Linked DNA regions of Cricetulus griseus. The protein of the gene in region 1 interacts with the protein of each later gene in a biochemical or structural test. Links are inferred from orthologs where the notes say so. Each region holds a gene or a part of one and is shown in the gene's direction. Other genes may lie near its edges.

Region 1 (4,231 bases):
ACTAGGGCTTAGTTTTTTGTTTTGTTTTCCTGTGCTGGAGACAGGAGGTCAGGGCCTACCATTGTCTAGACAAGAGCTTACCAGTGAGCTAAGACCTAACTTTAGGAAGGCATTTGAATTCAAATGGGCAAGACTCAAGAATGTACAGAGTAGGAATTCTTTGTCCATGGATCCAACACTTTTAAACTCAAAAGTGCAATGCTCCCAGAATGAATGCAAACGGAAAGAAGTCTTAGGTAGGAGCAATGGTAAATGTGTAAATGCATCGTCACTCACTTTTTTTTTTTTTCAGTCTCACATTTACTCCAGGCTAGCCTCCAGGAATTGGTAACAATTCCTGATCCTCTGGCTTCAGCCTCCCAAGCGCAGACACGTAGCCAGCCGTTTCTTTCTTTCAACCCCCATTCTTTCAACTTCACCAGGGTTCTCTTGGGGCACTCTTAACTTCCCTTTTCTCCTAACCTCACCCCACAATTCTTTCAACTTTGTTGTCCAGGCCATTGACATTTGCTTCAAGGTCAGTTAAAAACCAGTCAAGGTGAATACTTTAAAGACATAAACAAAAAGCTCTTATGCAGCTGGGTGTGGTGGCACACTCCTTTACTACCGAGTTAGAAACCAGCATGGTCTACCTGAGTTCCAACCTGTCTCAAAAACAGACAGACAACCCCCCCCCCCCAAATTGTTATTTGTGAGCACCATTAGCTTGGAACAACGGTTTACCCATAACCCATACTTGGATTATCCCACCATAGCTACTCTGGGGATGGCACTGAGGCTGCTTCCTGTGTTCTCAGCCACCTTGGGAAGAGCACTGCGAAATCTTCCCGAATGCCTCGGTGAGTCCGTCACCTCTCTTTTCCCCGCCACTTCCTCAGCCAAGGCCTTCCTGCAAGTCCGGGAAGAACGCGGCAGTTACGACCGCGCTCCTACGAGCCTCGGTAGCGGCCAGCGTCCCCGAGTAGGGAAAAGGGAGAGGGGGTGGGGCCGGGAAACGCGGGCCGGCGAGACTCAGCAGGGACAGGCCACCACCGGAAGCGCGTGGGGGGCGCTCGGGCGGAAGGCCGAGAGCGCGTGGTGGGCTGGGGCGCCGCGAGGGGCGGGGCCTGCGCGCGCGCCGGGGGCGGGGCCCTCCCGCGCAAGGTCACGTGGACGGGCCCGGTGGCGGTGGCGGTTCGGCGCGCGGCGCGCGGCCGCGCGTCTAGAGCGGCGCCCCAGTGCAGGATGTTGCAGGAGGCGGGCGGCGGTGTCGTTGGCGCAGCGGGTGGAGGAGCGGCGACGGCTGAGGCGCCCGCGGGCGGGAATAAAATGGCGGATTTCGAGGAGTTGAGGGTGAGCGTCGCGGGGGGGGGGGGGAGCGGAGGCCGCTGGCGGGGGAGAGGGGAGGCGGGAGCAGCGCGGGCGGCGCCGGGGCGTGCGACCCGGTTGGCGGAGCCGCATCCTCGGCGCCTGCGCGCGGGGAGGGACGGAGCGGGCGAGGGCGGGGCGAGGGCGGGCGAGGGCGGGCGAGGGCGGGCGGTTGGCCCGGGGTGGTGGGCCGCACACCTGGAGGGCCGGGGCCCCCGAGGGCCGGTGGGCTGACTCGGCGGCGGCGACCCCGGACTCTCGTGGCCGCCGTTCGCTGGGTGAAGACTGCCTCCGGCGACGTTAAGTTGCGTTTGGGAATTTTCCTCTCCCCGCTGTGGTCTAGGCAGGTCTGTCAGGAGATCAGGCCCCTTCCTCCCACCAGTGCTTCCTCAGCGTGGGGAGAAGCGCGCCCTTTTGGGAACACCGCCTTCCGTAGTCGGCCTCATATCCAGATACTTGGTTTGTAACCATGGTAAGAGATCTTCAAAGTCCGTGTTGTCATGTAGTTTGTGCACCCCTTTAGCTCTTGAGGAAAAACTGTTTCTTAGCACGAGAGCAAGGTCATAACTTTATTGTAGTCGGGGTCTAAAAGAGAGGTGGTTACACCGAAAAAGATTCTTTTCCTCCACCAGATTCACAGAAGTCTTATCCCTAACCAAACCAGGTGTGATAAATGAGTCGAGTTGAACCCCGAATTACTGACGACGAATGTGGGATGGTTACAGACAGAAACCCTGATTTTTAATTGTGTTTTAAAGTAGAGACGTATAAGTCTGGATTTGAAGTTAAATGAATTGCAATCAGCTGTTTGAACTGGTAAAACTGTTCTGCTTTGTAAGACCATTATTGTGTGGGAAAAGGATGTTGTGTGGTTGGACACCAACAAAAGAATGAATTTCACAGTACCCTCTTGTTTCTGAAATGAGTGATTTTCACAGTAAAAAGTATATCATACATGTTGTATCCCATATCAGTTTATACAGAGAACCATGATTGTAAAGCATATTTGAACCTTCTTACTTGTCCTGTGTTTAGTGGTGCTCCTGACGCAACTGTGCCTCACTATAGGAAACTGAACACTGGAGTTTTTTTCCCCTGCAATATTACCATAACTTTTGTAGAGTAACATGTATATTTCCTCTTCCAGGGAAAGTAGTCTTTGTTTTCTTAAGTTTGGTTGGTGGAAACCTCACTAGGGTTTCTTGTATTAGACTTCTTGTTGTTGTTTTCCGTTTTTTGTTTGTGTTTTTCAAGACAACATTGCTCTGTGTAGCTTTGGAGTCTGTCCTGGAACTCTCTCTGTAGACCAGGCTGGCTTCGAACTCATAGAGGTCCGCTTGCTGGGATTAAAGGCCCGGCTGTATTAGACTTTTAGAAGTGTCACTGGTTAAAGTGAAGAGCTAAACTAACCTTAATCATATAGGGTGGAAAAGGGCATTAGTACTCAGATGGACCTTGAAAGCAGTGGAAACCAAAGTATCCCTTTTTGCTTTTCTCCATTTTGTTTTCTGGATAAGCTTCACCTGAGACACAGTGGTGTTTGCATCTTCTTGTGCTTGGTACAAGGTAATGTCCTTGGCTCATCTGAGGCAGTAGATGACCACAGGAGACTTGGCCTATGAAGGTTTTTGGAGGACAGGAAAGAAGGTTGCAGGCTGAGAGGTGTTGTGTGATATTTTGTTTCTGTTCTGACAAAGCTTGCCTGGAGGTCAGAGGGTGGAGTTAGCCACTAATTAACCATAGAGGTCTGGAGGTCTGTACAAACAGGAGACAGAAAGTGATAAGGCTGGACATAGGTGGGATCTCAGCCCTTTTGGTTTGAGGACTGGGTGAGGTAAGAAGTGTGGGTGGCTGTTCTTTGTATCTCTGATCTTTCCACATTTACCAAGATATCTGACTCCAGGTTTTTATTGATAAGACTATTTAGGACCATGATTCAGAGTAGATGCTGGAAGATTATCCACTATCTTTTGCCTTAGCTGCTTAGGGCAGACACATGTTATCCTACTTCTCAGTGCAAAAAGTGATGATGATGGCACATACTCATTTTAATATGTCCCTATACACACCAAATTCTGGTTCAAATATTTCATATATATATTGTTATTCTTGTAATTCTGTGAGGAAAATGAAACATAGATTGTAGTCATGATGATTATAATACTGTGGCTTGCTTAAGAAGCTTTCACGTGCTGGGGAAATTATTTGGTTCCCTAGATGCTCACTTATAACATCTTTGTTATAATTGAAGGGATGGCCAACTAGTTTGTGAATTAACTAGCTAGATGTAAATTAACTTGTTATAAGATTGTATTAGTTTCTATTGTTCTAGTTCTGTGAAGAACCACCATGACCAAGGCAGCTCTTAGAAAACATTTAATTAGGGCTTGCTTTCAGTTTGAAAGGGTTAGTCCCTTATCATCATTGTGGAAAGCAGACAGGCATAGGCTAGAGCAGTAACTAAAACAGTGGTTCTTAACCTTCCTAATACTGTGACCCTTTTAATATAGTTCCTCATGTTGTGGTAACATCCAATCATAAAATTATTTTTATTGCTACTTTATAACTGTAATTTTCCTACTGTTATGGTTTGTAAATATCTATGTTTCTGATGGTCTTAGGCCACTCCTGTGAAAAGGTCATTCGTACCCCAGTTTGAGAACCGCTGAGCTAAGAGCTGTGTATCTTGATCTGCAGTCAACAGGAAGTGAGAGAGACCTCAAAGCCCACCCCAGCCACATACTTCCTCTGACAAAGCCTTGCCTCCCAATCCTTCTAAGCAGTCTCATTCAAAACCACCATAAGCGGGGCCTTTAATCCCAGCACTCGGGAGGCAGAGGCAGGCCTGGTCTCCAGAGTGAGTGCCAGGATAGGCTCCAAAACT
Region 2 (4,240 bases), on another chromosome or scaffold:
CTGAGTGTTCTACCAGCATGCTGCTCAAGCTCCTGTGAGTGCTCCCTGACTGGTCAACCAGCATGCTGTTCAAGTTCCTGCGAGTGCTCCTTGACTGTTTTACCAGCATGCTGCTCAAGCTCCCAGTTAGTGCTCCCTGACTGCTCTACCAGCATGTTGCTCAAGCTCCCAGTTAGTGCTCCCTGACTGTTCTACCAGCATGCCGCTCAAGCTCCCAGTTAGTGCCCCTGACTGGTCAACCAGCATGCTGCTCAAGCTCCCAGTCAGTGCTCCCTGACTGCTCTACTAGCATGCTGCTCAAGCTCCTGTGAGTGCTCCCTGACTGGTCAACCAGCATGCTGTTCAAGCTCCTGTGAGTGCTCCCTGTTTTACCAGCATGCTGCTCAAGCTCCCAGTTTGTGCCCCTGACTGGTCAACCAGCATGCTGCTCAAGCTCCCAGTTTGTGCTCCCTGACTGGTCAACCAGCATGCTGCTCAACCTCCTGCGAGTGCTCCCAGCTTCACTTGTCCTGCGGTAATTACCAAGTTGGCTCCTTGGACATGTTATTAAACCTCGAGGTATCTTAGTGTTCTCCTGTGTAAAATGGGCTTTTAGTGTCTACAGCAGCATCCCAGAAAACGAGCAAATGGAAGACCAAAATGGAGGCCTCTTGTGCCACTATCGTCCACCCCAGTGGTCTGGTGGTTACTTTGGGACTATGTGAGGAGGGAGAAGGGTAGACACAGAGAATCCAGGGGAAGGGACAGGTACTTCCTGGAGCCATCTTGGGAATGCCCTTCTGGAGGCTGATCCACCCACCTGGAAAGTCAGGCGGGAAAAGATGAACCAGGGGTATGTGCTGGCTCTCTGGGCCAACAGAGGCCATCCTCCGTGTCCTCAAAGGATGCCTTTTCCAGACATGAGCTCCCCTGTGACATTCAAACTCAAGGCCACAGACTTGTCCCAGGAGTATGTGTGTGGTCCTTAAAGCATGCCTGGTAACCTCTTGTTGGTCTTCCTGAAGGGGGGGGGTGGCCCGATGGCCCTGATTTTCTTCCCCGTCCCTTCCCCAAAGGCAGCCTGCGGACAGAAAAAGTGGCCAAACGCGGATGGCAAAGTGGTTGCTTGAAGACACCTGGGTCGGTTGGGCCAAAGCATTCTCCGGCTGCTGTCTCAGCACACAGGCGCCCCCGGTCCTCCCCGTCCTCCCAGTGCCCGCGCCCTTGGCGGGCCCCTTGGCAGTCTTGTCCCCACATCCGGGGTCTCCGTGCCCAGGACCTTGGGCCGCGCGTCCCCGGGGCTCTGCGCGCGCCCAGGTGCCTGACCCGCCCCGTGACGCATTTGCAACCGTCCGGGATCGCGGCCGGCCCAGCGCGCGCCCGAGGCGCGGGGCACGCGCCTCGTGCACGCGCGCCACCACGTGACTCCGCGCGGCCAACCGGCGCGCCGGGATTTGGGGATAAAGCGCGGCCCCGCGACAGTTGCGGCGGGAGAGCGGCGGGGCAGAGAGCGTGACTCGCCCGCTCCAGTGCCACCGGTTCTCCTTGCGCTTCCCGCCGCCGCCGCCGTCGCGCAACCATGTCGGAAGAGAAGCCCAAGGTAAGCCTGGGACGCAAGGCGCTGCAGAGTCCGCAGGACGCAGGCCGGGCCGCGCGCAGACCGGGGCCCGCGGGCCCGCGCTCCGGCCTCCGCGCCCCTCCCCCGCCACGGCCGCGCGCGCCCCTCCCCCACCGGCGTCGCACCCCGCCCGAGCTTCGCCCCGGCCCGCCCCTCCCCTTGGCCCCGCCCCCGGTCTGCCTCCCGCCACGCCAGGGCTCCGCCCCCGGTGTAGCTCCGCCCCCCGATGTAGTTACGCCCCGAGTCTAGCCACGCCCCGCGGCCCGAGAACCCGGAACTTGGACGTCCCGCGGGGTGCTGGCTCTCGGTTATCCAGTCTTCCTCTCAGTCCTCCCTCCTCGACGTGGCCATCCCTCTTGTGCCGTGTGCAGAGGCCCACGCGTGAGGCCCCCGTGGGCGCTCCGAGAGCTGCAGCGGTGCAGGAGCCAAGCTGGCCGCTCCGAGCTTCTCACTGTTGGCCGGGTCCGGTGCTCTCCCACCCCCCCATTGCGGTCCCCCTTACTTAGTCTCGGCAGTTAGTGCGTGGGAAGACCCGCATGGCCCAATCTCAATTAAAAGTTTTTCCACCCTCGACCTGTCCTGCTGGGAGCCTGGCATTCTGTGTTCACCGCCCTGGGCCCAGAGATGACCGCTCTCTTGGTTCGGATGAGAGACCCCAGGAGCAGGGCAAACCTCTGGAATGCTATGGTACCCCGCTGTGAATTCACCAGTTGATCCCAGCATCATCTTGGCTGCAGGGCTCTGACTTTTAATTCCAACTCAGCCTTGGGTGCTGCCTACACCAACAGGGACAACAGGGACGTTGAATGAGAGCACCTGTTTGTACTGGACTAAGAGTAAACACTTTGTTTTGTAGTTGGTTTCCTCTTTATGAGGTTAGGCAGGAAGTGAGTGCCGGGTGTGGTACTGGAAAGACCACACCTGCCGTTCTAGGTTAGTGGAGGCAGGGGTTTATACTTTTATTTATATTTTGCAGCACTGGTGATCCAACCCAGGAGCTTTTGTACACTAGGCAGGTGCTCTGCCAGTGAGCTATCCCCCCACCCCCTTTTTAAAGGCAAGGTCTCTATGTAGATCAGGCTAGCCTTGAACTCACAGATCCTCTGGCCTCTGCTTTCTGAGTGCTGTGATTAATGGAGTGTGCCACCACACCTGGCCAGCCTTTGTTTTGTTTTGAGACAGGGTCTCCCTGTGTCACGCTAGCTGGTCTTTACCTATACCCAGGAGTGCTGGGGTTACAGGTATTCGAAGTCATCGTGCTAAGCCTCATTTTTCTTTCTTTCTTTCTTTTTTTTTTTTTTGTTTGTTTGTTTTTTCGAGACAGGGTTTCTCTGTGTAGCTTTGGAGCCTATCCTGGCACTCGCTCTGGAGATCAGGCTGGCCTCGAACTCACAGAGATCCGCCTACCTCTGCCTTCCCAGTACTGGGATTAAAGGCGTGGGCCACCAATGCCTGGCAAGCCTCATTTTTCTTAACCTCTGAGTTTGCTTGCTAATCAGAGAACTACTGGACTGTGCCAGCTATCCTGCTGTTAGAGGGGAGCGTGCCTTGGGCCCTTTCACCTCTGCTGGCATTTCTGTTTAGGCCCTGGTTCCTGTGTCTGATTTGAACACAGCATTTTTTTTTTTTTTTTCCTGATAGAAGTCAGTGCATCTTGGGGGCCTGGAGTTGTTCACTTTTTCTCACAGTGGAGCCCACAGTTTGGAGCAGTAGCCAAGCTCTCTGAGAAGTGCTACTGTGTCACTGGTGTCCTGTGACTGAATGCTGGGAATTCTCTCACAGGAGGGAATGGAAGGAGGGTGCTCAGGTGTTTGTTCTCTCAGGTCCCTGCAGGACCCTCTCACCTGGGAACTGTTTCTCAGGCTAGAAAAAGCTCTTAGCCAAGGCTTTTAGGATCCAGCACAGGGCAGGCTCCTTTCCAGACACTGTTCTACCCAAGGCCTTTTGTACCAAGCTCAGAGCAGGTTGCTTCCTGATGCTGTTCTGCCCCTTTCTCCAGGAATAAAAAAGTGGCAGAGGCCATCCAAGGGAAGCAGGGAGTTACTCAGTTAAGCTGTGGGAAAAAACTGGTGTGAGGACAGGGAGAAAATGCGGTCTGCAGATGGACCAAGGGATCTATGTCCTTAAAAAGTAAACGGTTCCCAAGGCTGGAGAGATGGCTCAGGGGTTAGAAGCACTGGCTGCTCTTTGAGAGGACACAGTTCAGTTCCCAGCACCCAGGTGACTGCTAACAAGCATCTGTTAACTGCAGTCCTAGAGCATCTGACGCCCTCTTCTGGCCTCCATGGGCACTGCCTGCGTGTGATACACAAAATAGTCAGACACATTCAAAAATAATAAAGGTTAAAAAGCTCCTATGGGCTTTTGATATACTGTGTGAGTCACTCATGCCCTGAACAACAAAAGTAGTTCCTTCCCAGATCGAACAGCCCCAAAGTTGGCTCTGTTCAAAGTGTGTTTCCAGCAACTGACAAGTACTGACTTCGCCTTTGTCCAGCTCTCGTGTGTACCACGATGTATAAAAACTAGTGCTGTTCAATAGGGACCCAGGGCCTGTGCAGGCTGAGCATACTCATTCCTTGGAGCCACACCCAGCCACAGAAGAGCACAGTCTAAGACCAGAGGGTCCAGGGAACTACAGTT

The links.
Region 2: the proteins of Pias2 (region 1) and Sumo3 form a complex in vitro, tested with the Homo sapiens proteins (2 studies listed by BioGRID, with this or other methods). The link is inferred for Cricetulus griseus from reciprocal best matches to the Homo sapiens genes PIAS2 and SUMO3.

Annotation. Positions count from the first base shown.
Region 1 is NC_048595.1:162,885,410-162,889,640, reverse strand, and holds the start of Pias2 (E3 SUMO-protein ligase PIAS2), read left to right. Parts: upstream 1-1,171; 5' UTR 1,172-1,224; coding exon 1,225-1,332; intron 1,333-1,690; exon of another isoform or gene 1,691-1,816; coding exon of another isoform or gene 1,817-1,819; intron 1,820-4,231. UniProt on the Homo sapiens protein: Functions as an E3-type small ubiquitin-like modifier (SUMO) ligase, stabilizing the interaction between UBE2I and the substrate, and as a SUMO-tethering factor.
Region 2 is NW_023276806.1:261,206,393-261,210,632, reverse strand, and holds the start of Sumo3 (small ubiquitin-related modifier 3), read left to right. Parts: upstream 1-1,424; 5' UTR 1,425-1,558; coding exon 1,559-1,579; intron 1,580-4,240. UniProt on the Homo sapiens protein: Ubiquitin-like protein which can be covalently attached to target lysines either as a monomer or as a lysine-linked polymer. Does not seem to be involved in protein degradation and may function as an antagonist of ubiquitin in the degradation process.